Linked DNA regions of Oryzias latipes. The protein of the gene in region 2 binds, or shares a complex with, the protein of the main gene of each other region. Links are inferred from orthologs where the notes say so. Each region holds a gene or a part of one and is shown on either strand. Other genes may lie near its edges.

What was found.
Region 1: ahi1 (region 2) and b9d1 share a complex: the UniProt entries of both Homo sapiens proteins name them as parts of the tectonic-like complex. The link is inferred for Oryzias latipes from reciprocal best matches to the Homo sapiens genes AHI1 and B9D1.
Region 3: ahi1 (region 2) and cep290 share a complex: the UniProt entries of both Homo sapiens proteins name them as parts of the tectonic-like complex. The link is inferred for Oryzias latipes from reciprocal best matches to the Homo sapiens genes AHI1 and CEP290.

The regions. Positions count from the first base shown.
Region 1 is NC_019866.2:15,983,428-15,990,902, reverse strand, and holds b9d1 (B9 domain-containing protein 1), read left to right. Parts: upstream 1-3,346; 5' UTR 3,347-3,486; coding exon 3,487-3,549; intron 3,550-3,679; coding exon 3,680-3,748; intron 3,749-3,867; coding exon 3,868-3,976; intron 3,977-4,081; coding exon 4,082-4,178; intron 4,179-4,248; coding exon 4,249-4,311; intron 4,312-4,755; coding exon 4,756-4,823; intron 4,824-5,016; coding exon 5,017-5,144; 3' UTR 5,145-6,390; downstream 6,391-7,475. UniProt on the Homo sapiens protein: Component of the tectonic-like complex, a complex localized at the transition zone of primary cilia and acting as a barrier that prevents diffusion of transmembrane proteins between the cilia and plasma membranes.
Region 2 is NC_019880.2:251,847-259,321, reverse strand, and holds the start of ahi1 (jouberin), read right to left. Parts: upstream 4,669-7,475; 5' UTR 4,388-4,668; exon of another isoform or gene 4,283-4,387; 5' UTR 4,219-4,282; coding exon 4,209-4,218; intron 4,142-4,208; coding exon 4,026-4,141; intron 3,930-4,025; coding exon 3,556-3,929; intron 3,473-3,555; coding exon 3,411-3,472; intron 3,296-3,410; coding exon 3,145-3,295; intron 3,066-3,144; coding exon 2,873-3,065; intron 2,803-2,872; coding exon 2,707-2,802; intron 2,637-2,706; coding exon 2,451-2,636; intron 2,380-2,450; coding exon 2,227-2,379; intron 2,143-2,226; coding exon 2,010-2,142; intron 399-2,009; coding exon 275-398; intron 203-274; coding exon 1-202. UniProt on the Homo sapiens protein: Involved in vesicle trafficking and required for ciliogenesis, formation of primary non-motile cilium, and recruitment of RAB8A to the basal body of primary cilium.
Region 3 is NC_019864.2:2,330,867-2,338,341, reverse strand, and holds the start of cep290 (centrosomal protein of 290 kDa), read left to right. Parts: upstream 1-2,526; 5' UTR 2,527-2,636; intron 2,637-2,849; 5' UTR 2,850-2,891; coding exon 2,892-2,996; intron 2,997-6,613; coding exon 6,614-6,691; intron 6,692-6,887; coding exon 6,888-6,957; intron 6,958-7,041; coding exon 7,042-7,088; intron 7,089-7,475. Other genes in the region: tmtc3 (transmembrane and TPR repeat-containing protein 3), read right to left, coding at 1,163-1,381, 1,566-1,754. UniProt on the Homo sapiens protein: Involved in early and late steps in cilia formation. Its association with CCP110 is required for inhibition of primary cilia formation by CCP110.

The DNA.
Region 1 (7,475 bases), on a different chromosome or scaffold from region 2:
GAGATAACTGAAGGACATCCAATATTAAATATTTAAAAAAAGGAAATTTTCTAGTGTCATCAAGAAAATTATTTGTTTTTAAAAATGGCTGAACTACATGTAACCCTTGTGCTATCTTAGATGACCCCACCCTTACTTTGACGTGTTCTTTCTACCATGACAAAGGTGGATAAAGGTGGAAAGATTTCATGTAATCCATGGACACCAGTGAAGATCACAAATCATTGAAGAAAAAAGGTTCAGCGCACTGTCTAGTGGGTCTAGATGACCCAACTCCCAACGTTAAAGTGCCTAGGATAGCACAAGGGTTAAATGTATTAACGGGAGGGAAAATGAAAAATAGTCCCAGGTGTGACTTCTGAAATTCAAAGTCTTTTAACTCTAAAACTAAAATAATTAAATAAATGCAATAATCCAAAATTGATTTACGTAATATTATTACATATCTCTATTTCTCATACTACATAGTGCTGTCCAGAGGGGTTGAACCCAAATCAAAGTAAGGGTATATTCTGCACTAATAAAAACATTTCTGAATGTTGACTCTGACATCAGAAAAAAATTGAAAACTAAATTTAAACTTAATTTCTTTGATGATACTATATAAATATTAACGAGTTATTTTTCCAAATACTTACTAGGTTTTATCAAATTGGGTATAAAAAAATTAATTTGGCTGGTGTTTTTGTAGAAAACCAAAAACATTTTTTTTTATTTGAACGCAGATCTTTGTCCAAAACTGATCTGTTTGTGATCAGAACTGAGCAGAAAAACGCCCCTTCTAACAGTTAAAAAAGATTGAGGCCAATTATGTAAACAACTATCCCACTTTTTAGAGAAATATTTTATATTCTCTTCTTTTTTGGTGATTATTTTAAAAGGGATCGATTATGGAGTCATTTTAAGGTAAATGATGGCTTCTTTTTGGGATAATCTACGAATAGTTTTTTTACCATCAATTTTCTGGTTATTGCCATCTTGGCAGGATGTGACATCGCAAAGTTTCCAAAAACAAACAAAGGAACAGAACATATTAGCTTCAATTTGGATGTCACCTGTCAATCAAATTTATTTGTTAGCAAAATCGGTTAAAAAAAAAACACAGTTAGGTTTCTTAAAGGTAATCAAAAAAGTTTTCTAGAATGAAAAATCCACCCCAAATGTAAATTTGTATATTTTGTTTGATTGGACATCGCACGTTAAAGTCCAACTCCAGTGGAAATTGTGTTTTAACATGTTCTTGTGGCATGTTTTCTGACGATGGAAGACATAACAAAAGAAAATTCAACTCAAAATTCCAGTTCTGAGTATTTTTTTATTCAAATCATTGTGAATTAAAAAACTGTCTTTTGTGAAAGACCGTATTTGTGATGTAGAAACTACAATGGGCGAGCTGTAAGCTCACTGCTCCGCCCCATTCTGATGCATCCACTTGTAGACGACTACATCCATGTACGTCTTTGTTTTCCTCACTTGAGCTGGCATCTGGCTAAAACTGTACAGCTGGATAGCTCCAATGTTGGTCGCCATTTGTGTTGCACCTGTAATGTTAGGCTGGAGGTGTGAGGGGCTGTAAGCTAGGGGAGAGCACATGAGCAGAGAGCTCTGAGTTATGGGTGATTGGAAGTGGAGATGGGGTTGATTTTGGCAAATTAACAGACCACTGAGAACACTTTTAACAGAGCTCAAAGATAACTGGAGTGGGTCTTGAAATAAGGACAACTTACCTGAGCACCAAGCTGCCCAGAGGTTACTTGATGAAGTGCACTTAGCTGAAAATGGTTTCAAATGGAGTTCAACCGTGACTGCCCCCTTGCCTGTGACACACCCAGCCTTCCCCCATGGTAAGGGGAACTGTGTGATGTAAAAGAGCCCTGAGGATGATGAAGGTGACAGCTCTGACAGCTGCAGCAAAGCCAACAGAAAAACCTTCATGGGACTAAGACAGCGCAGATTTATGCCCTGTGTGGGTGGGCCGCAGATCCCCTTTCACAATTATCACAATGGCTGCCGACTTATTTGAAAGATTCAGTCTCTTCTTTTCTCGCTATGTAATTTGCACTTCACTCAATATTTAGTCATCAGCTTATCTTCATACCTTGTGTCCACTTCCTCTCCAATTTTGATTGCTCCTCTTCTCCGGTTCTTTACTAATTACCCCCATCTCCTTTCTGCCATATATGCTTTTCCATGTTCTTCCCCACATATCTGGAAAATGTGACTCCCTGGTTCATCATTATTAGAAATGACATTTTGTGACCATTAAAGTGTTTTCTCTGCTGCTCCTCTGTTTTTCTTGATCCATTTTTCAGCCACTCATATTTGGAATGAATCTGGCTCTCTGGTGAAATCGGTGAAGGCCTCTTTAGGGACTGATTTCCATTATATCTCTGGCAGAACTGACTTGAACAAAAAGGGGAAAAAAATCTCTGTTCTCGAAAGAAGTGTGAAGTGTCACTATCAATCACGAAAAGGGACTTAAAGGAGGTCGCAGATGCCGGATGGAGGGGGTGTTTCCTGTTCATCTCATCATTTTCATCATTTATGGCTTCATATTGTCACAGAAGGGTTGTGCAAAGCAGTTGCAGAGAATCATGAGCCCTTGTGGACCAGATGACCTCTTTGAATTGACCAGCTGAAAACATGGGCTGCTGCTCATTAGACTCTAAATGAGGGATTTGGCAGCAAGGAGGAGGGAAGAGGAGAACGAAAGCAGGTCAGAGGGACGAGGAGGAAGTCACAGGAACAGGGCGAAAAAGTTGTGAGGGGCCGAACAAATATTAGAAAGGTCGGAAAAAAGAGAGAAGGAAGGAGGTGGACGAGAACTGAAAACAATGGAGAAAAGCAAGGATGGGAGAGAAAGAAGTTAGGGGAAATTGGAGCAAAGGATTCAATTGAAAGTGGTAGAAATTGAAAAAACACATTTGCAATGTATGTATAATTTATCAAGAAAGTTTTCGCTTAATATAAGGGCTCCAAATGTGTAAAAGATGTTGATTAATTTGAGAAAACATAAATCTTTTCATTGATACAAATTTCCTCAATTTTTTCCATAATTTTTTTATTCATAAACCAAGCAAAACGGTAGTCCGAATATCAACAAAAATGACGGTGTAAAAAAAATAAAATAAAAAAATAACAATAAATGGACAAAAACAAGGCAAAATGCCGCTTAAAATCACAATTAGTTTGATACAGTTCGATTAATTATTGTTTTCTTGTTAATGCTTGATGACATCTCCTTATGTGACTTTAGTCTGCGGCATTTAATGAAGCGCTTTTCTTTTTAACAATGCTGTCATCTTGTGGCGGTAAAGGTTCTTATTTTAACGCGCTCTCGTTTTGTTTGACTCTGGCGGGTTTCCGTAGGGAAAAACACGCGTTGCCTTAGCAACGGCTGCGAGTTTAATCAATTTCCTCTTACAAACGGGTTTAAAACTAGCGTTAAATGATAGTTTGTGAAGGAATTAAAGAAGACGTTAATAGATGGCTTCGAGTAACCCGTCGTTGTTCCTTCTTACTGTAAACGGACAAATAGAGGGAGCGAACGTGAGTTTTGCGGCTTTGTCTTAGCATGTTAGCTAATATTTTAGCTAGCTTTAGCCACATCTAGCGAGCTACAGATATTTTCCCCTCGTTTGATTTCTTTTATTACTCTAAAATGTTTTCTGCTATTTAGTTTCCAGAGTATGACAGCCTTTACTGCAAATACTCCTACGTTTACGGACACGACTGGGCCATTACGACGGTGAGTCCGCGTCTATAGCCGTCTGATAGGGGCATATTACCCATAATTCCTCATAAAACAGCCTTTTTTAAAGTATGCGTGGTTTGGTTGTTTTTAATTTTAGGCTTTATTTATTGCAGGGTCTAGAAGAGGGCATCACCCAGATCACCTGTAAAAGCAGTTTGTCACGGACTTTAGTCTGGAACTTTCCTCTGGAAACAACGTTTAAGAGCACCAATCCATCTGGATGTGAGCCTCACAAAAACCCCCACAGACTGAGTTTATGATGAATCACTTGATTATTCAAGGATTGCGTTTTAAAAATGATTTTTTTAAATTGTTTTTGTCTTTTAGGGCCTCAGATTGTGATCAGTGTGTATGGACCTGATGTGTTTGGCAATGATGTGGTGAGGGGCTATGGAGCGACCCACATCCCTATCACACCCGGACAGTAAGTCTCACCTCCATGAAACCTCTTCTTTGTCTTTCCCCTTTAACCACAGGTTGTTGTTTCTCCATAGACACACTAAAACCATTCCCATGTTTGTTCCCGAGCCCACATGGAGACTCCAGAAGTTCACAGGGTGAGGCGTTTTGCTGTGAAGACTAAAGACAGCAGCTGAGCTCTAATCGAATGTTGTCCCCTCCCCTGAGTGTGGGGGTTTGATTCCATCAAAAACCCAATAATGGGTTTCTGCGGTGAACATGCTTCCCATTAATATCTATTACTTCCTGTTAGCATCATGTTAGAAAACCACAGATTGTAATTCATTAGAAAAAAAGATATTTTTAGGACCTTAATTTAGCTGAACCCCACTATTGGACAAACATTCTTTTCCTTTTTTATGTAAAGTAGGTGTATTGCTCCTCTTGTGCAGTCTCTGGTTCTTGTTTTGTCAAAATGTTATAAATTTAAAAGCAACTTTCCTCAAAATTTTGGGGAAAAGCAACATAAATGTAAGACAAAACATTTTTTCATCATAACTTTTTAAAAGTACTAAAAAATCCCCCCCCCTCCCCCCATTTAGCTGGTTGCTAGGGCGAAGACCGGAGTACACAGACCCTAAAGTAGTGGCGCAGGGTGAAGGCAGAGAAGGTACGTGAGGAATCTTTTATTTTCCTACTGCATCAAGAGTCGTTCACTTTGAAATGTGTCCCAGAGGTGCTTCTAAACCAAATCAATTATTATAAAAGTGTTTATTTTAAACCCCCCCATCCTTTTTTTTACTTATTTTGTATTTGAAATGACAAAAAGACTAAAGTCCCGCTCTGTCGTGTTTGTTCTGCAGTAACAAGAGTTCGTTCTCAAGGTTTTGTCACCGTCTCCTTCCACATCACCACCAAAGACATGAAGAAGATGGGCTACGACACGGGACCGTCCAACCCCCAGACTGCTGGTGGCGTGGACGCTTTCTAACACAAGCCTCAAATCTTTTTATACATTTGTACTTAAATGCATATTTCTATATATATTGTTTTGCAGAACAGTTTTTTTAATAAACACCAAGTGCTGCATTTGGTTGAAAGACTACACAAAAGCAAAGACAGTGGAGCTGCAGTGAAACCTTTTATTTTGAAACGACGCAGCTACACCCGCCCTCCTCCATCCGCCTGCTGCGCTCGTTTGTTTAGATGCCGTTAAAATACCACAACGACTTTTCCTACAAAATAAACCCATTACACAGAATGATAGGGAATAGAGAAAAACAGTATGTTACAATAGTACAAATGATAAATTATATCATACAGTTATAATGCCAACAGGGGGGGGAGTATAAATCCAATAAACATTTTTAAAAAAAGAAGCAGCCTGCACCCAGTGCTATGAGAAAGTAACTGGACGCACATGAAAGAGAAAAACCAAGAGTCTGAATATGTATAGAAATACAGCCTGTAAGGTCAGTCGGTCCTCTTTATAGAAGCAGAAACACAAGAGCTCACTACATTTCGCCTTTATTTTCTATCATTTGTCATTGCCTAAACAAATGCAATGATGTTTTATCTGTTCAGACTGGAAAAAATATTGTTTTAAAGTGTTACTCTGTAGGAAAGTGGCTTCCTTGGTGTTTGTTCCAGAAACATTTTTTTAGTAAATCTTATTTTGAAAAGACAAACGTAGCATTGAGCTTCTTTGTTTTTTTTTCTTACTCAAATATTTGCATCTTTTTTGTCAGAGTGAAAAAAACATTCGCTGCAGAGTAAATATCAAACGCAGCTTTAGCGATCCCTCATTTTAAGCCTAATATATATGTAATAGCATAGGTAACCACGAGGGGGCGCCAAACCACTCCGAGAGAAAGCTCCCACTGTAAATGCTGGCAAGTCCAACTGAAGACAGAGCTGACTCAGAACACAGCAGGTGCAGATCCCTCTTTTTCCTCCAATACCATCAGAGGTGGAGACGCTGCACCTACCGGTTGAAAGTGTAAGGAATTCTGGCGCTTTGACGTATTAAATACAAAACAAACGAGTGTCAGTGATATGTGGTCCTAGTCGTAGTGTTTTCTACACACTGCACCCCCAGAAATCACAGTTGCTTCCACTTTGGTAAATAGTTGTGCTTCTAAGAGAGGAGTGTTACACGGCCTACCCATACAGTGAAACAAAAGTACACAAAGTAGACACGACGACAAACGGCTTTGCACAGCTAAAAAAAAAAAAAACTATAAATGTACATCCAACAAAATAAAAACAGTTTGTATTTACTGTGGGATCCTCTGTACTAGCAATAAAAAGATCATGGAAGAGCCCTGTTAGTGAGTATGAGCATTTGTGTTTCTTTGTATATGTGTGTGTGTTTGGGTACTTTTCTGTGTTGGTTTGTAAGAGTGTGTATATGTGTATGTTGCTAAAGCAAATCCTTTACCAGGTAAACTCCTTCCTGACATGCCCTTAAAAACCCCTGGACTCCAACCAAGTCACTTTAGTGGTGCCTACACACACACACACACACACACACACACACACAAGTACACACAAACACAAATATTTTAAGGCTGCTTATCACTAAATTTGCTCCTTTCCAGCTGCACTTTAACTTTTTTTTTAACTTAATTAAAAAAAAAGAAGTCTGGTTTGAAAGTACACTTGGAAGCTAAATACACACACACACACACACACACATTTAAACCCTCCGTAATCCCTTTAACCCTACAGACACATGTAAAACAAATGATTCCACAATGCCTTGCTACGACAGTTCCTCTTTTTTCCAGGAAACAGGAATACTGTGGTTTCCTTTAGAACATGTGGCAGACGGTGGAAAACGTGCTAGCGAGCGTACGGTTGTTAGGATTGGAGCAGGTCTGACAGACCAAACACACAAAGGAATGATGAGTCTTGATCCCAGAGTTGATGTGAGCCGTCAGTAGGAAGGTGATGACTGTAACACTGGGCAGGGCCGCCGCCGCCGTCCTCTTAAGCTAAGGTGTAACGGTGAGCTCAACAGTCACGGGGGGGTGGGGTGGGGGTAGAAAAGTAAAAGCAAAAATTGTGCAAAAATTCCTGTTTGTCAGACGCGCGTTCACACAGAATTCTGGAGTCCTGGATCCCGTAGGTGGATTCGCTGGAATAAACAATGTAAAAAGCATGGAGGTGTGCACGCACAACCCACACACACACCAGCTAACGGGCTTATAAAAGATTAGTTTGAGTGTGGAGAGAGGAGACAGATGTTAGTATAGTTAGATGTTCCTCCCACCTCCACGGAGGAGAAGAGGAATAAACTTGAATGGATGACAGTACACCT
Region 2 (7,475 bases):
GAAGCTGCTGTGGCCGTCAAACTCCTGCAGCAGCTGCCCGTTCACGTCGCTGACATCCAGCCTCCACACGCGGACCAGGAAGTCAAAACTACCGGTCACCACCAGGTTCTGAGCGCTGGGATGGTACCGAGCGCAGTACACAAAGGAAGGATGAGGCAGAACCTTTTGGGCTGTCCCCAGGAGCTTCTCCACGTTCCACTCCCTAAAGAGGAAAGCCAGGAACCAGTGCAGTGCTTGAACATCAAAGACCTTCGTCACACGACCAGAAACACACCTGACGGTTCCATCGGAAGAGGCCGACAGTAGGCGGCCATCGTCTCTGGACCAGCACAGGTCGTACACGATCCTCAGATGACCGCTGAAGGCGGCCAACACCTTCCCAGAGGGAATCTCATACACTGCAACACAACGAAACACAGCACAGGCACGACAATGTCAGGAAAGTTGAGCTAAGGCAGACGCACAAAGACATGCAGACTCACAAACAGAAAAAACACAAAAAACTGGGTAAAACAAAGATGGGAACTTAAGGACAAAGTAACACAAGAAAACAAGAAAAACTGAACATCCACACAAACAAGCAATAACACATACCTGAGCACATGCATGGAAACATGTCCACACAACACAACTCTATTCATTTTTATTTATACAGTCCAATATCACAACACAATTGTTTCAAAGGGCTTCACATCAGTAACTGTACAAAAACATGAACTCAGTTATAGAATTCTACTAAACTAAACTGGACATCTCTGCCCTTAGACCCCCCTTCTCTGTAAGGAAAAACTCCTAAATAAAACGGATTCCAGAAAAAATGAAGATCCCTCAGGGGTGCCCACATGAAGGAGGGATCCTCCCCCAGGACGGACAGGCGATTTACCAGAACTCTTAGAGAAGAATTAACTTATGAAACAACTACATATATAAAGTCCAGCAGACGAGCTTCATCCAGCCGTGGTTGGGGGGGGACAGTCCATGAATCACTGCAGCAAACAGAGACATGGAGAACTAAATGATGAATAATAGAATAGAGGAGAGGAAGAGTAGAAGTAGATGAGAAAAGAGGACAGAACCCCAGAGCACCATAGTTACCCCAGCTTCAACTTCTAGCAGCCTTTTAAAACTAATAGTTATTGTTGTTAAGTTTAATTTAAACACATTAACATTAAGTTAAATAATCTCTAAATACTAGCCAGTCTGACAATAAGCCTGTCCACAGAGGAATGTTTTCAGTCTAACTTTGAATGTAGAAACTGAGTCGGCCTCTCTTCCATGAGCTGGGAGTTTATTCCATAAGACAGGGGCTTGGTGGCTAAACGCTCTACCTCCAACCGTACTTTGACTAATTCTAGGAACCACAAGCAGTCCTGCATTTAGTGAGTGAAGTGTTCTGATTGGATGGTAAGGGACTATGAGGTCCTTAATATAGGACGGGGCCATTCCATGTAAGGCCTTATAGGTTAACAGGAGGATCTTGAACTTGATTCTAGAATCAACTGGGATCCAGTGAAGTGAAACTAACACAGGAGTGATGTGATCTCTTCTGCTAGTTCCTGCTAACAATCTAGCTGCTGCGTTCTGAACAAGCTGGAGACTTCTTAAGGAACTCTTAGGACACGCTGCTAACAAGGAGTTACAGTAATCCAGCCTCCACGGAACAAATGCATGGATGAGTTTTTCAGCATCATAGCAGTATTCTACAGGTGAAAAAAGGCAGTTCTACACGCCTGAGATATGTGAGCCTTAAATGATAAATCCTGGTCAAATAAAACCCCAAGGTTTCTAACTGTGGAATTGGGGGCTATACTTATGCCATCCAGGGAGACTATCTGAGCAGACAGAGCATCTCTGAGGTTTTTATAGTATAATGACCTCAGTTTTTTCTGGGTTCAGGTCATTAATTGTCATCCAGGTCTTGATGTCTCTGATGCAGACATTGTCCACACAAGAACACAAACGCTGAGCGTCTGAACAGACAGAAGTGCAGGTGTGTCTTTGCCTCTCACCTACAACAGGAAAAGCGTCTCTGTCTGCGCAGGCAGCTGCCAGGATGCTTCCAGCGTTGGAGAAGAGCACGCTGAAGCAGCCCATGTGACCCCCCCGGAAGCCCAGGACGTGCTTGTTGGGAATGCTACAGACCTGGAGACACGGTGAGGATTTCAGCAGCTTTAGAGCATCTCCTCGTGCACACCTGTGATCAGGCGACCCCGGCGGTCCTCGTACCTGTCCGGGCAGACGGCGCCACCTCAGCTCCGGCTGCCGGCTGTCAGCCGTCTGGGGGGGGGTCCTGCTGGAGACCTGCTTCTGCAGCTCGCTGTAGGAGGAACTGCCCCTCTCCTCTTGTAACGCCATCATGGAGCGCGTGCTGGGGTCCACCTGCAGCAGAGTCCAAACCCTGTGACCCGGTCCGTCCTGGGTCAGTGCAGAGCAGGTGAAGCGGCACTCACGTGTGCGGGCAGCTGGATCCCCCTCACCGTGACGTACAGGGTGGAGGCGTACTTGCTCCTGGGGAACTTCCTCCACCACTCGAACACCTCGATGGTTTTAGGCTGTCTTTTAGCCCGCGGGGGGGGACAGAAGAGCTGGAGGCGGAGCTTACTGTCCACGTTCCGAACGCCGTTTGCACCGACCAGCTAAAGTGCAGAATAGAAGGTGCAGCGAGCGCAGACCCCCCCATGGGGAACATGCAGACATGTGTGTTACCTTCAGGAACGCCCAGGCGATTTTCCGAAAGCCGCTCTCGTGTCCGTCAGCGTCGGCGTTGGCCCGCGCCTCCTCCATGGTCACGAAGTCCAGGATCTGCACGCAGCAGGGGGGGCGGTTGGTGCAGCTGCGAGCGACTGAAGGTGTTGGGTGGGGCGGCTCCTACCTCAAAGAGGAGCAGGACTTTGGGGCTGCACTCGTCCTGCTGAAGGAAGTGGCTGAAGCGCTCGTTGAAGAGGATCTGCTCCTCCCACTCAGGAACCACGGACTTCCTCCTCCTGAAGTCGAAGGGCTGCGTCATGACGGGCAGGATGTGGTCCACGTTCTCCCCCTCGTAGAAGGAGACGGCGGGCCGGCGGCTGCAGGACCACAAGAACCTTCCTTTAGAACCTGCGGGCGGATGGGGGCGGGTGGGTCCGGAGGACGGCGCCGCCTCACCGGTCGTCCTTCTTCACGTACTGGCCCGTCCTCTCATCCACCACGTGGATCTTCACCATGGGGTGTGAGATCAGCAGATCCGTCCTGAGGGGGTCGCTTTTGTGGACAAACACCCCCAACACCAGGTCGTCCTCCTCACCTCCACCCCCCCCTGAGAAGATGATAGTTTTGCATCATAATGCGTTCTTTCAGACCCCCCCCCCCCCCCCTGCACACTCAGTCTGTTTCTGAGCTGCTCCCATCTCCTCACAATTTACAATTTTAACCTTGTTTTTCCTCGCCCCCTCCCCTGGGCTGCTCCTGGGTTTGGCCCCCTCCCGGCGGACTCCTGCAGAGAAAGGAGGTTTATAGAAATGACCCTGAGCGTGTCAGACACAAGAATAACCTGCAGGTGCGTTCAGGAACCCCCACCCCCCATCCGTGGTCACAGCTTTCTTTTTCTTCTTGCTGTTCTTTGGGGGGGGGCCGTCTCTCCCCCTCCCGCTGGCTTCCTGTGCGATTCTGCGCTGATATTCCTGCAGAAGTTTGTCTTCATCGTCTGCGGTTCTGCTGCTTTTCTGACTTCTCCTTTTGCCCCCCCCCTCTGAATCTAAAGCCTTCCTGGACTCAGAACCCCCCTCCTCCTGTTTGACAGATGCCCCCAGGTCCCCTGTGGCAGGGAGGGGGGGCAGCTCCCTCTTACTCCTGGTGCTGACCACCTCCGCCCCCCGGTTGTGGTTCTGGAGGGCGGTCCGGTCGTCCTCGGAGTCCCTCCCAAGGTGCAGATCTTTGATCAGGTTCTGGAGCTAGAGGGGTGGGGGGCAAGGAAAACCTGTGTTCGTGATTAGAGCAGAGACAGTCTCACCTGTGAACAGGTGACCCACCCCCCTCCATAAACCCACCACCACCGTCTCCTTCTCTGCGCTCTTCTTCCTGGACTTCTTCCTCCTGGACTCCGTATACACCTCAAACGCATCATTGAATCTTTCCCGGGTCTCTGCTGGCTCCTCCCCCTCACCTGTACAGGTCAGAAAAATCAGATCAAGGGATTTCTGGGACAACCCCCCCACCCCACCTCACCTCACCTGCTGGCATTGTCAGGCACCGGTGTCATTCCCGCCAGGAAATTGAGTTTATACCGGAAGTGAGGGGCTACACTCTGGAAACCAAAACACAGGGTGGGTTATCTGACCCCCCACCCCACGCTGAGTGGATCCTGTAGCAGGAGCAGGTGAACAGGACTGACGTGTAGGTGTCTGTTCACCTGAGGCTCGGCATAGAACTCCAGAGAATGTTCCGTCTGTAGCAGCTAGCTTAGCGCTAGCATGAACCGAGCGGCTTTACGAACTTCAAGGCTCACGAAACAAAAACGCCTATGGTCCCAGAAAAATACCGCGACCCTCAAAGAGACCGGACCCACGCGACCAGGCGGGAAAAAAAACGTTTTAGGCCTCTGGGTGCCGCGTGCCTTTCAGTTCCACCGACGCCGCGCTTCGGTTTCCAGGCCAACGCGGGGGCGGGGCTTGAGAGCCTCTTGGTGATGCATTTACACAAATACAGAATCCACCAATGAACTTAAGGCATCCGGAGCTGCAGTGCATGACCTCATCATGCGCTGCGTTTAGGGACCAGGAAAAGCTCGGAATATGAAAAGTTATCAATGAAAAAAAAAACAACAACCTCGAAATGACTAAATGTTTCTGCTATGTTTCAGAATGCAATTGACACAGCTCATGATTCCCATTAACATTTAAATATTTATTTAAGTTTCAGATTTTTATTACAGAAGATAAATGACATTCTGAAATAAGCAAACATTACACTACACTTGCAAACATGAGTAAAAAATACACTCAAATATAGTTGCACATATTTTTCCACTCCACATATAGTAGTAGGTTTAGGGGCTGTCATCTGGACTTGGTTTTTAAAGTTAGAAGACGTTTCACCTCTTATCCAAAAGGCTTTGTCAATGACTTGAAAGATATGAAAACTCTAATAAATCTGGAAAATTTCTAGCTAATCAGCTTAAAATTAATAGAGAAAAATCATCAATCACTTCTATTATGGACCAAACAGGAAATGTCACCCATGACCCGGTCAAAATTAATAACACATTTGAAAACTTTTATAAAAACTTGTTCACACCACAGATCAATCCGTCAGAGCAAAGTATTGACTCATTTCTTAATAATGTAAACCTACCCAGGTTAAATGAGGATCAAATCACAAACTTAGATTCTCCACTCTCGCCGTCTGAACTTCATGAAGCTCTGTTACTTATGCCTAATGGTAAAGCACCAGGGCCTGACGGCTTTCCTGCTGAGTTTTATAAAGAATTCTGGGAACAACTGGCACCAACATTTTATAAAACTGTCACATCTATCAATGAGAGCCAATCAATGCCACCTAACATGAACTCAGCCAACATAATCCTCCTTCTAAAACCAGACAAAGACCCCACTAGTCCTTCAAGCTATCGCCCCATTTCTTTAATCAATGCAGATGTAAAAATTATCTGCAAAGCACTAGCACAGAGAATACATGCAGAGAATACTACATGCATGCACTGTGGTTCTGCACGCCTGTCCAGGCTCTCTGGCAGCAGGTATGTGCCGATTTATCAGTCTGGCTTAAGGTTTCAATCACAGCTTCACCGTCACTTTGTGTGCTTGGTGACATGAGTGCCATCGATGTAGAAGGAGGATTAGGCTCTATCATTTTCATAACTCTTTGCATTGCTAAAAAACTATTTTAATAAATTGGAAAAACAAGAAAAATATAAACATAAATCAACACAGAAATCTGCTGCTTGATCATATCAGCTTGGAAAAAAGCTGATATGAGGGGTGTGGGGGTGTGTGGTGGGGGGGATGGAGTGGTGGTCTGGCTCGGCTTGGGGGGGTGGTCCTTTTGCCTGTGCTGGGGGGGGTTGGCGACCAAGAAAGGACAGATGAGTGACGTTTACTTCTGTGTAACATTTGTAATATTAAGCATATAATGGAAGTTGTTTATCGTATAATTGAAGTTACAGAATCAAATGTGAGAGGTTTTTTTTGGAATCAAGTTATTTTTTGAGTGCCTGTGTCGAACACATGTGAAGAATCGACAATGAAGTTGACTTTGACATTTGCGATTAAAATATTCTTTGATCCAATTTTAAGACAAACTTTAAAATTAAAGAATTTTTTTCATCAAAATAAAATATGTATTGTATATGTGTATGAATTCTAACCGTATGTCACAAAACAGACTGACGTCTGGATCCGAATGCAGCAGGTTTATTAGCTCAGCTAAATGTCCACAAAGCTAAATCAGGGTCAGGCTGGCTGGCAGGAGTCGATAACAAGCACACGTTCATCAGTGGAGAGACGGGAGAAGTCAGGATCCAGACAAGAGTCGGGGCAGGCGCCAGGCAGAGTCACAAACAGGGTCAGGACATCAGGAAATCAGGAAATTTAGAAGATCAGATGCAGCTATAACGCTCGGTAATGCGGGCAGATTGGCGCAAACAAAACTTCACACTGAGTGAGGCTCAGTGCAGTGATTAAGTACTGTGAGTGATTGCACATGACAGTCAGGTGTGTGGCATCCAGAAACTATGCGCTGGGGTTGCTGGGAGATGTAGCGTAAAGAGAACTCTTGAGACGGTTTCCACCGTTGGCCAAAGTTCTAAACTCCTGAAACTTTTTCCCCAGTGTACACAGAAAAGCATAATAACATAAAAATCTGGGCAGACTTCATTTCTGCAGAAGAGGTAAAACACAGAAATGTTTTAAACAACTAATTCAAATGGAGCATCAGCAACTCTTCAAATTCACTGATGTCAAACATTCTGGATTTGTAAACGGCGTGTGACAGATTCAGGTCGATGCCAGCCGTTCAGAAGTGGCTGTGGTGCAGCAGTATGGACGGTCGACCCCTGATTGTAAGATTGCAGGTTTAATTCCTGCATGGCACATCCATGTGTGGAAGTGTCCTTGGGCAGGACACTAAACCCCACACTGCCTCTGGTTGAAGGTTGGCGCCAGTGTGTGGAAGCGGAGCCACCATCAGTGGGTGTATGGTGACGGATCTTTGACTCAAAGCGCTTTGAAGGAAGGTAGAAAGGCGCTAGATAAGTAAACGCCAAGCGAAAAGCGTTTTTGGGACATTTCACATGCCTCTGTTTGGTGCAGTGGGATTCGATTGTTGTCCCTCCAGATTCCAGATTCAAGTTGGCCACTGTCCTAGGCTGTGGATCCTTTCTCTGGCTCGTCTGGCACCCCCAGCCCCCCCCCCAACTCCATCTGGATGAAGCTCGTCTGCTGGACTTTATATAAGTAGTTGTAGATTTAGATAAGTTAATTCTT
Region 3 (7,475 bases), on a different chromosome or scaffold from region 2:
TGTGAGGCAAATTGTTCTCATTCAAGAAGTCTAAGAGCCTGTAAGATTAGCGAAGACCAGGAAAAGGGCTGTTGCTGTGTAATTGTAGTACTCCAATGAAGGAAGCAGAATGTTCTCTTTGTTTTTCTGCCGACAGCGCATCGCTTTAGCTCCGTTTAAAAGGTTGCATTACACGTCTTAATTGGTCAGAAAAAACGTTTACCAATGAAGGTAAATGAGTTAGTATTAAAATAAGACACAATATAGAAGACGTTTGTCGTTTCCAATTGGGTTAAAGAAGCTTAACTAGGAACTCGTAGTCTTTGATAAGATGATTACAAATGTACTGCTAATTCTACATTGTGAAACAAGCACAAAAGAGAAACAGATTTCAAAGGATTTGAATGTGTCAAAAATCAACAGTGATTAGAAATGAACAATCCGTGCCTTGCATACGAGGAAGTCGTGTTTCCTCACTGTATCCCATTTACGGTCTCGCTGTTTCACAGAGTTTTTTCAGTAATTTTGTACGCTGCATTTTTTATTTTACAGCGGATTGTGTTAAGTTGGCTTCCAACTGGTTAACAGCCAACTTTGGAACATAACTTCTGCAATAAATAAGAGAACATTGTAATCTAAAAAAACCATTTGTAATGACTAATCTCATTGTGGAATGCTTATATAAAGCGTGATCACCGCTCACAAAGGAAAGGAGGGCGCATTGGTTGAAGATAGAATGCCATGACAGACAGGGTTTAACACACAGGTTTACTGTCAGAGCGTTAATAAAATAAGTCGTCAGCACGAGATAGTTAACTCAACAACAAAACAAGTGAGTAGATGTTAACGGAGCCCCACGTGTTATAAATATTTATAGTGTATGCTCTATTTCTAAGTATGACTTTGCAATAGTGGCTCTTGCACCAAAACTCTCCAGTGATTTCATTGTTTGATGAAGACTTGGAATTTGCCAGGTCTGCCTAAATTTAACCAACAATGAAGCTCAACACGGGTCATTCAGATGCTGCCAGAAACAACAGTTTTTCACAGATTCATCTTCAGACAATACGTCGACAAACCAAAACGCAAAATTATTACACAGTAGGAGACTTAAACCCCATTTCAGACAACTTTAAAAGCTATTGCAGAAACAAATATTTTTGAAACCTTAAGAAAGACTTACAGCCTCCGTGTGGATGGGGTGAACAGCAAACAGCAAAGCCGCCACCAAACCGGAGGTCTTGTCCAGGAACAGTCGGCAAACACGCAGGAAGAGAACGCACACAGCAGCGTGTAAAATGATATTGAGCAGGTGGTAGGAAGCTGCACTGAGCTCACTGAAGAGGTAGTTCAGTCGGAATGTGAGTACTGTCAGGGGTCTGTAAGACTTGTGGCTTCGCTCCTGCAACGGGACACAGGTGGCAATGACTGTCAGATGAAAGTTTACCTTTTTTCATTTAAACTCAAACATGGTGGAAAGGAGTTCCTATTCTTGGTTTCATATAACAGAGCAGAACAATACAAACATCAAGGATAGCGTGTATTTGCGCAACATGATTAAAAGGGCATTAAAATGTAGTCATTACCTCAGTCATAGGTGTTCCCCAAAAGTCATTAAGAAAAAGGTTGTGAAGAGGGGTTGCGGGCCGGAGGTCCTTGTTGTCCAGGATGGCAGAGACATCATCAAACACAAACCCACATGACAGACTGTTCCAGTAGCATCCCGCCACCAGTCCAGTCAAAAGAACAATCTCCTTCCACGACACGAAAGCCATTTCTGACAAAAGCCGTCATTGATCACTGCAAAGGAGAGCAAACGGGACTGATCATTTATGGGGAATTAATAAACCATTATGGAAACCGCTTAATTTAAATGCGGGTCAAACTAAGCGACCAAAGGTTACTAGATGTCAAAGTGCAGCTGCTGCAGTGCAACCTGTTCAAATTTAACTCTAAACTAAACAATTTACTTACCAAGCAAAACACCCCGGTTTCTACCCCTTTTAATATATGCAACTGAATAACAACAACGCCGTTAATAATTCAAGAACCCCCCAAAATAATAAACAACTACTAGTACTTTCTGGTTCTGCTAGACACACAGTAGTCCAGGTGACATAAGGGAAACGTTGCATGTGAAGCAAGCGAAACAAATGAAACCCATTTTGCTATCAATATTTAATAGCAATGTTTATCATAAACACTGACAAACAAAGAAGATAAAACAATCTGCTGTAACTTGTCATAAGAGTAGATACTTCCACAGACAGGTAGCTAAGGCTAACTAGCTTGATTCCAGGCTGCGTTCGAAAGCATCTGCGTGCATTTCAATGTTACTGCAAAACACTCCGATTTGTGTCACCTAGCTTACACCAGAGCAGACGACAGCATCAGCAAACCCCACACAAAACACTGAGATATCCCAGAACAGAAGAGCAGGATTAATCCAAATGTAGCTGTGAGTACCTGCTAGCGTAGCTGAATCCCAACTACCTCTTCTTCCGGTTCAAAGGTGAACGCGCACGTTCAAAACTAGCCGAAGGCGGCTAGAGGGAATTTGACAAGGTTTTATCGTAGTCTTGTTTAGACCACAAATTATTTGTTTGACTAGGGCAAGTTTAGGGATAATGTCGAATATTCCGTTTACACGCAATGCGGTAATTTTATTCTCTTCTATTATTATACTTTAATGGTAACTAGCTTTTATTTTTTTAGACTAGCTGTTGTTAGCGGTAACCTAGCAGCCAGACCTCAGGAAGATTGTTGTGCAGCTTCAATAATCAGTCTGTGACCCATAATATACATGACGTTTCCAATGCGTTTATTTGAAGACTGATTTTTGACGTTAAATATTTTCTTCTTCTTGGCAGTTTTCTCCCTGAGTACCACTACTAGCTACGAACGGTCAAAAAATGCCAACCGTTCTCGACTGGAATAAGGTTTCAGGGATTGACCCAGGAATCCTCCTTGAATGTAAAAATAACAAAGTGGACGAGGTCGTCGGCATGCTTATTTCGGTAAACTTTCATGCACTGTCTCTGATAGTCCTGCCACAGCTTACTTCGGAAGAAAATTGCACCTTAAGTGGGCTATTTTTTACCATAATTCAAAAAGGGTTAATCTAATTTAGAAGTGATTTAAATAAACCGCCTGTTGAGGTCAAAGTGCATTCAAAATGACTTTAAAAATGCAGCTTAAGAAAAACAAATTACCCCACCCACCCAATTTGATGTTTTGCCCCTTTACCAAGAGCAGCATTGTAGTGACTGGTTAATGTGAAGAGTATCTCTTAACAGTTAATTCTGCATAAAGTTGATTTCATACATGGTTATTTAAACTTAAACATGCTTTAAAAGCCTTTATATCTTCAGAGGGTCAGCTACACTCATTACTACATTCTCTACATGTTCTGTTTTTTTGTTGTTCACTATTCCTTTCATCTTTTACCTCAACCTCCTGAACAACAACATGACAAATATTATTACTTAATATACATGTTTTACCTGATATTTGGGAAAGTAATCATTTCTGTTTGTAAAATTTCCTCAAATGTCCTGTCAAGAGTAATGAGGAGCTGTGAAGATTTGGACTTGCAGTTTCCATGTAGCTCATTTTTAAATTTTTAATCATTTATTTACCTTGTGACGGCACGGTGGTGCAGTGGTTAGCCTCCGGCAGCCACGTATATAAACAGATTAGAAGATAAATGAATATTTACCTTCTGTCTTTTGAAGTTTTTGGATCATATTTTAGCCAAACCTAAAATGTGCGTTTTAACTTGCTCCCTTGAAGCCAGTCACCACTGGGTGTTTTCAAAAGCCTGCTAGAGTCTGTCCTGTCTTTTGGAGTTTTATGTTCTTGTGTGTCTGTGTTTTTTCTATTTGGGATTTAATTTTACAAAATTAGAAGAAATTGTGAGTTCTTACATTAAGAATCAGGTAAAATGTTTTTTTTTTTCTTTTGTCTGAAAACAAATAGTTTTAAAAGAAAGTTGAGGTCCCACTCCAATCTACTTTTGATCTATTATAAAAGCATTGCCAGTAGTCTTAATTATAATTATGCTGTTTTTAGGCAAAATAAAAACTGTGTTGTTTTCAAGGACATAGTTTCTACAGAGTGGCAGGAGTTCATCAGAGGTTTATCCCTGAGTTGTGGGCAGGACTATTGGGGCAGAGTTTGCCTGCACTGATATTCCATTAATCCTTTGTTGACACTCTCTCCTGCTAGCTTACAGCCCCTCACAACCAAAGGCTAACATTAGCAGTGCAACAAAAATGATCACTAATATTGGAGCTATTAATTAACTGGAGAATTAAATCAATGGCTCTATTTGTCTTCAAGTTGATACATCAGAATGTGGTGGAGCAGGGAGCTTGTTGCCTGCTTTTTGTCTCTGGATGCTGTGGGACTGTCTTGGCTGAGATGTCTCTGAAGCATCACGTGGCAGTCGTGGACTGTACCAGTGGACTGGCAGACTTGGGTGGGGGTTCCCTTTTTTCAAGAAGTGGGTGTGTTTCAACTACTGGGGAATCACTCTCCTCAACCTCCCTGGAAAAGTCTATGACAGCCTACATGAAAGGAGAATCCTTCCAATAGTCAAACCTTAGTTCCAGGCACAACAGTGTGGTTTCTAGCCTGGTTGTGGAACAATGGACCAGCTCTACACCCTCCATAGGACGCTGAAGGGTTCATGGGAGTTTACTCATTCAGTCTATATGTGTTTTGTGGATCCGGAAAATGCATTTGACAGTGTCTCCTGTGGTAACGTAACGGATGCTCTGTGAGTATGGAGTTAGAGGATTCTTCCTGAGGGATATCTGGTCTTCTATGACCGTAGTAGGACCTTGGTTTGCATAGCCGGCAGTAAGTCGGACCTGTTCCTAGTTCATGTTGGACTCCGACTGCCCTCTTTCACTGGTTCTGTTTATAATCAATAGAATTTCTCGGCTCAGGCAGGGGCCAGAGAAGGTCTGGATTGGGGACCACATGATTTCCTCTCAGCTCTTTGCAGATGATGCAGGCCTGTTGGCTTCATGGAGCCCAGACCTCCAGCATGTGTTTGGGTGATTTGGGGGTGAGTGTGAAGCAGCTGGGAGGAAGGTCAGCACTGCTAAGTCTGGCCATGGTTCTTTATCTGAGAAAGGTAGTTTGTCCTCTTTGGGTGGGTGGAGTGCTTTTGTCCCAGATGGAGGAGTTGACGTATAGTGGGGTCTTGTTCATGAGTGAGAGAAGATCGGAGTATGAGATGGAAAGGCAGATTGGAGAAGTGTCTGCTGTTAAGCAGTTGCTCTCTCTGTCCCATTGACTGAGAACTGGACTGAGTAAACCCTCCCCTCTTGCGTTCCAAACAGCAAGTTACTGTGGTCTCCAAGAAGCCAAAATCCCATAGACTTCTATGAGAAATAAACAGCTAAAACTCTGTAGGTTTATTTGACAAAATAACTATTCTTTCTCTTCTCCTTGTTTTTAACATGTTCTTAATAATCCTTATTTTTTAAAATGATATTTTCATAATAAACAGACCAATCAGATGCCTCAATAAAAGCATGTGGTGCCCACTGGCCCCTACCTCGAATGTTGGAAATGTATGATCGACAGACTTTCCCGAGCCCACTTTTAGTGAAAGGGGAATGGACTTCTAACAAGCTTACCGGTACTCCTAATTGGTGAGAGTGGTTGCCATAGAGACATTGACTCAGATTGACTCGGACCATTCAATCTACTGCTTGCAGACGTCGTCTGACTCCGACTTGGTGGAACCGTATTGTGAAAAATGGTAACTTAATTAAATGCATTAGGTTGGAGCCGGAATTAAACCATTTTCTAAGGGTGACGTCACACTGACTCTGCCCAGTTCTCTTATTCAGTCAATGGTCGGTTTTTTATTGAGTTGAAAAGCGAATCTCTCTTGTTATCGATCAATCTTTGTTCCAATACTCACCTATGGCCATGAACTCTGGGTCATGAACGAAAAAACAAGGCCCTTAATGCAACCGCCTGAAAGGATCTTCCTCTGCATGGTGGCTGCATGTCACCCAGAGAGAGCTGGGAGTAGAACTGCGGCTCCCCCACATCCAGAGGAGCCAGTTGAGGTGGCTCAGGCATCTGGTCTGGATGCCTCCTGGACACTTCCCTGGGAAGGTCCCACTGGGCAGAGACCCCAGGGAAGACCCAGGACAGGCTGAAGAGACTGGTCTGGGAACACCTTGGAATCCCCCCAGAGGAACTGGAGGAAGTGACCTGTGAGAGGGAAGTCTGGGTACCTTTGCTAAGGCTTCTGCCCCTGCGACCTGGTCCCGGATGAGTGGGATAGATGGATGAAGACAACCTTTAGCTGTTTGGCTAAGTCAGCAGAATGTACCCACTCAGCAGCTTTGATTCTGCCTGCTCTCACTGGAGATCTCACATAGCAGCCCACTGCTGCTGATTCAGCTTTAAAATATAAACAGTGTCTTTAAACTGCTATGAGTTGGGGAAAAATGTGTGTATGTAGCAATAATCCTATAGGCTGTAAATAAACAGACACTCTTGGTTTGACCTCTCGCTGTTTAAGTTTGGACTTTTGTTTTATTATGATGTAAAATGACTCTGCTGTTGGCAGTTCTGCCATTTGAACCATTTTTTCTCCACACAGACAGAAGAATGGGAGGTGAAGGATAAAGCTCCAGAGGACATTATTCACATCCTCAGGGTGTGTCAGGCCCTCTTGAAGGTGTCAGGTTTTATTATTTCTACACTTTGATCTCTACATTGAGCATCTGTTAACTGCCCCACCAGCATGTCTTCTATGAAGACAGAAGATTCTATGTGCAAGACACAGTCTTGATGCAGATGTTTGTTTGGACACATGCTGACTCCATTATTGATACGTGCCTGTCATTTTTAAGTCAACTCTCTTTTCCCTTTAGAGGAAAGATCGGGAAGTTGCTCTCAGTGATAGTTTCATAAATGAGATCGGCATGCAACATGCCAAAACTGGTCAGTGCACGGTTTCACCTACCTTGCTTTCTTTTTAGCTTAAAAAACACAAACAACACAGCTTTTAATTTCTGTATCCCTTAGAGAAGGAATTCCTCGCAAAGATATCCAGGCTGGAACAAGATCTAAAGGTAAGTAAGGCTTTTGAGGTTTAGTTTGGTCCATTAGTTCCTCTGCACTTCATGTGTGCATTGCTGCAGAGTGCTCTGTGTTCTTCCAAGAACTACTAAAATGTTCTTTTTGTAATTGCAAGCATGACTGCAGCCACTGTTGCAAATTTAATAAGGCAAAATAAAAGAAATAAAAACACGTCATTCATGCATGTGACGTGAAATCACTTTTCATGCCTATTTACTTCTGGCAGCAGAGCCAATTCTTTGAGCCAATCACAGAGTGCAACCCTGGCCACCACAGGATTGGCTGTAGTGACCACAGAGACACAGCACCTAAGAAGATTACATTTAATTCCATGCACGCACAGCACATTCATTTCTTGTTTTAACTTGATTGGTGTTTTG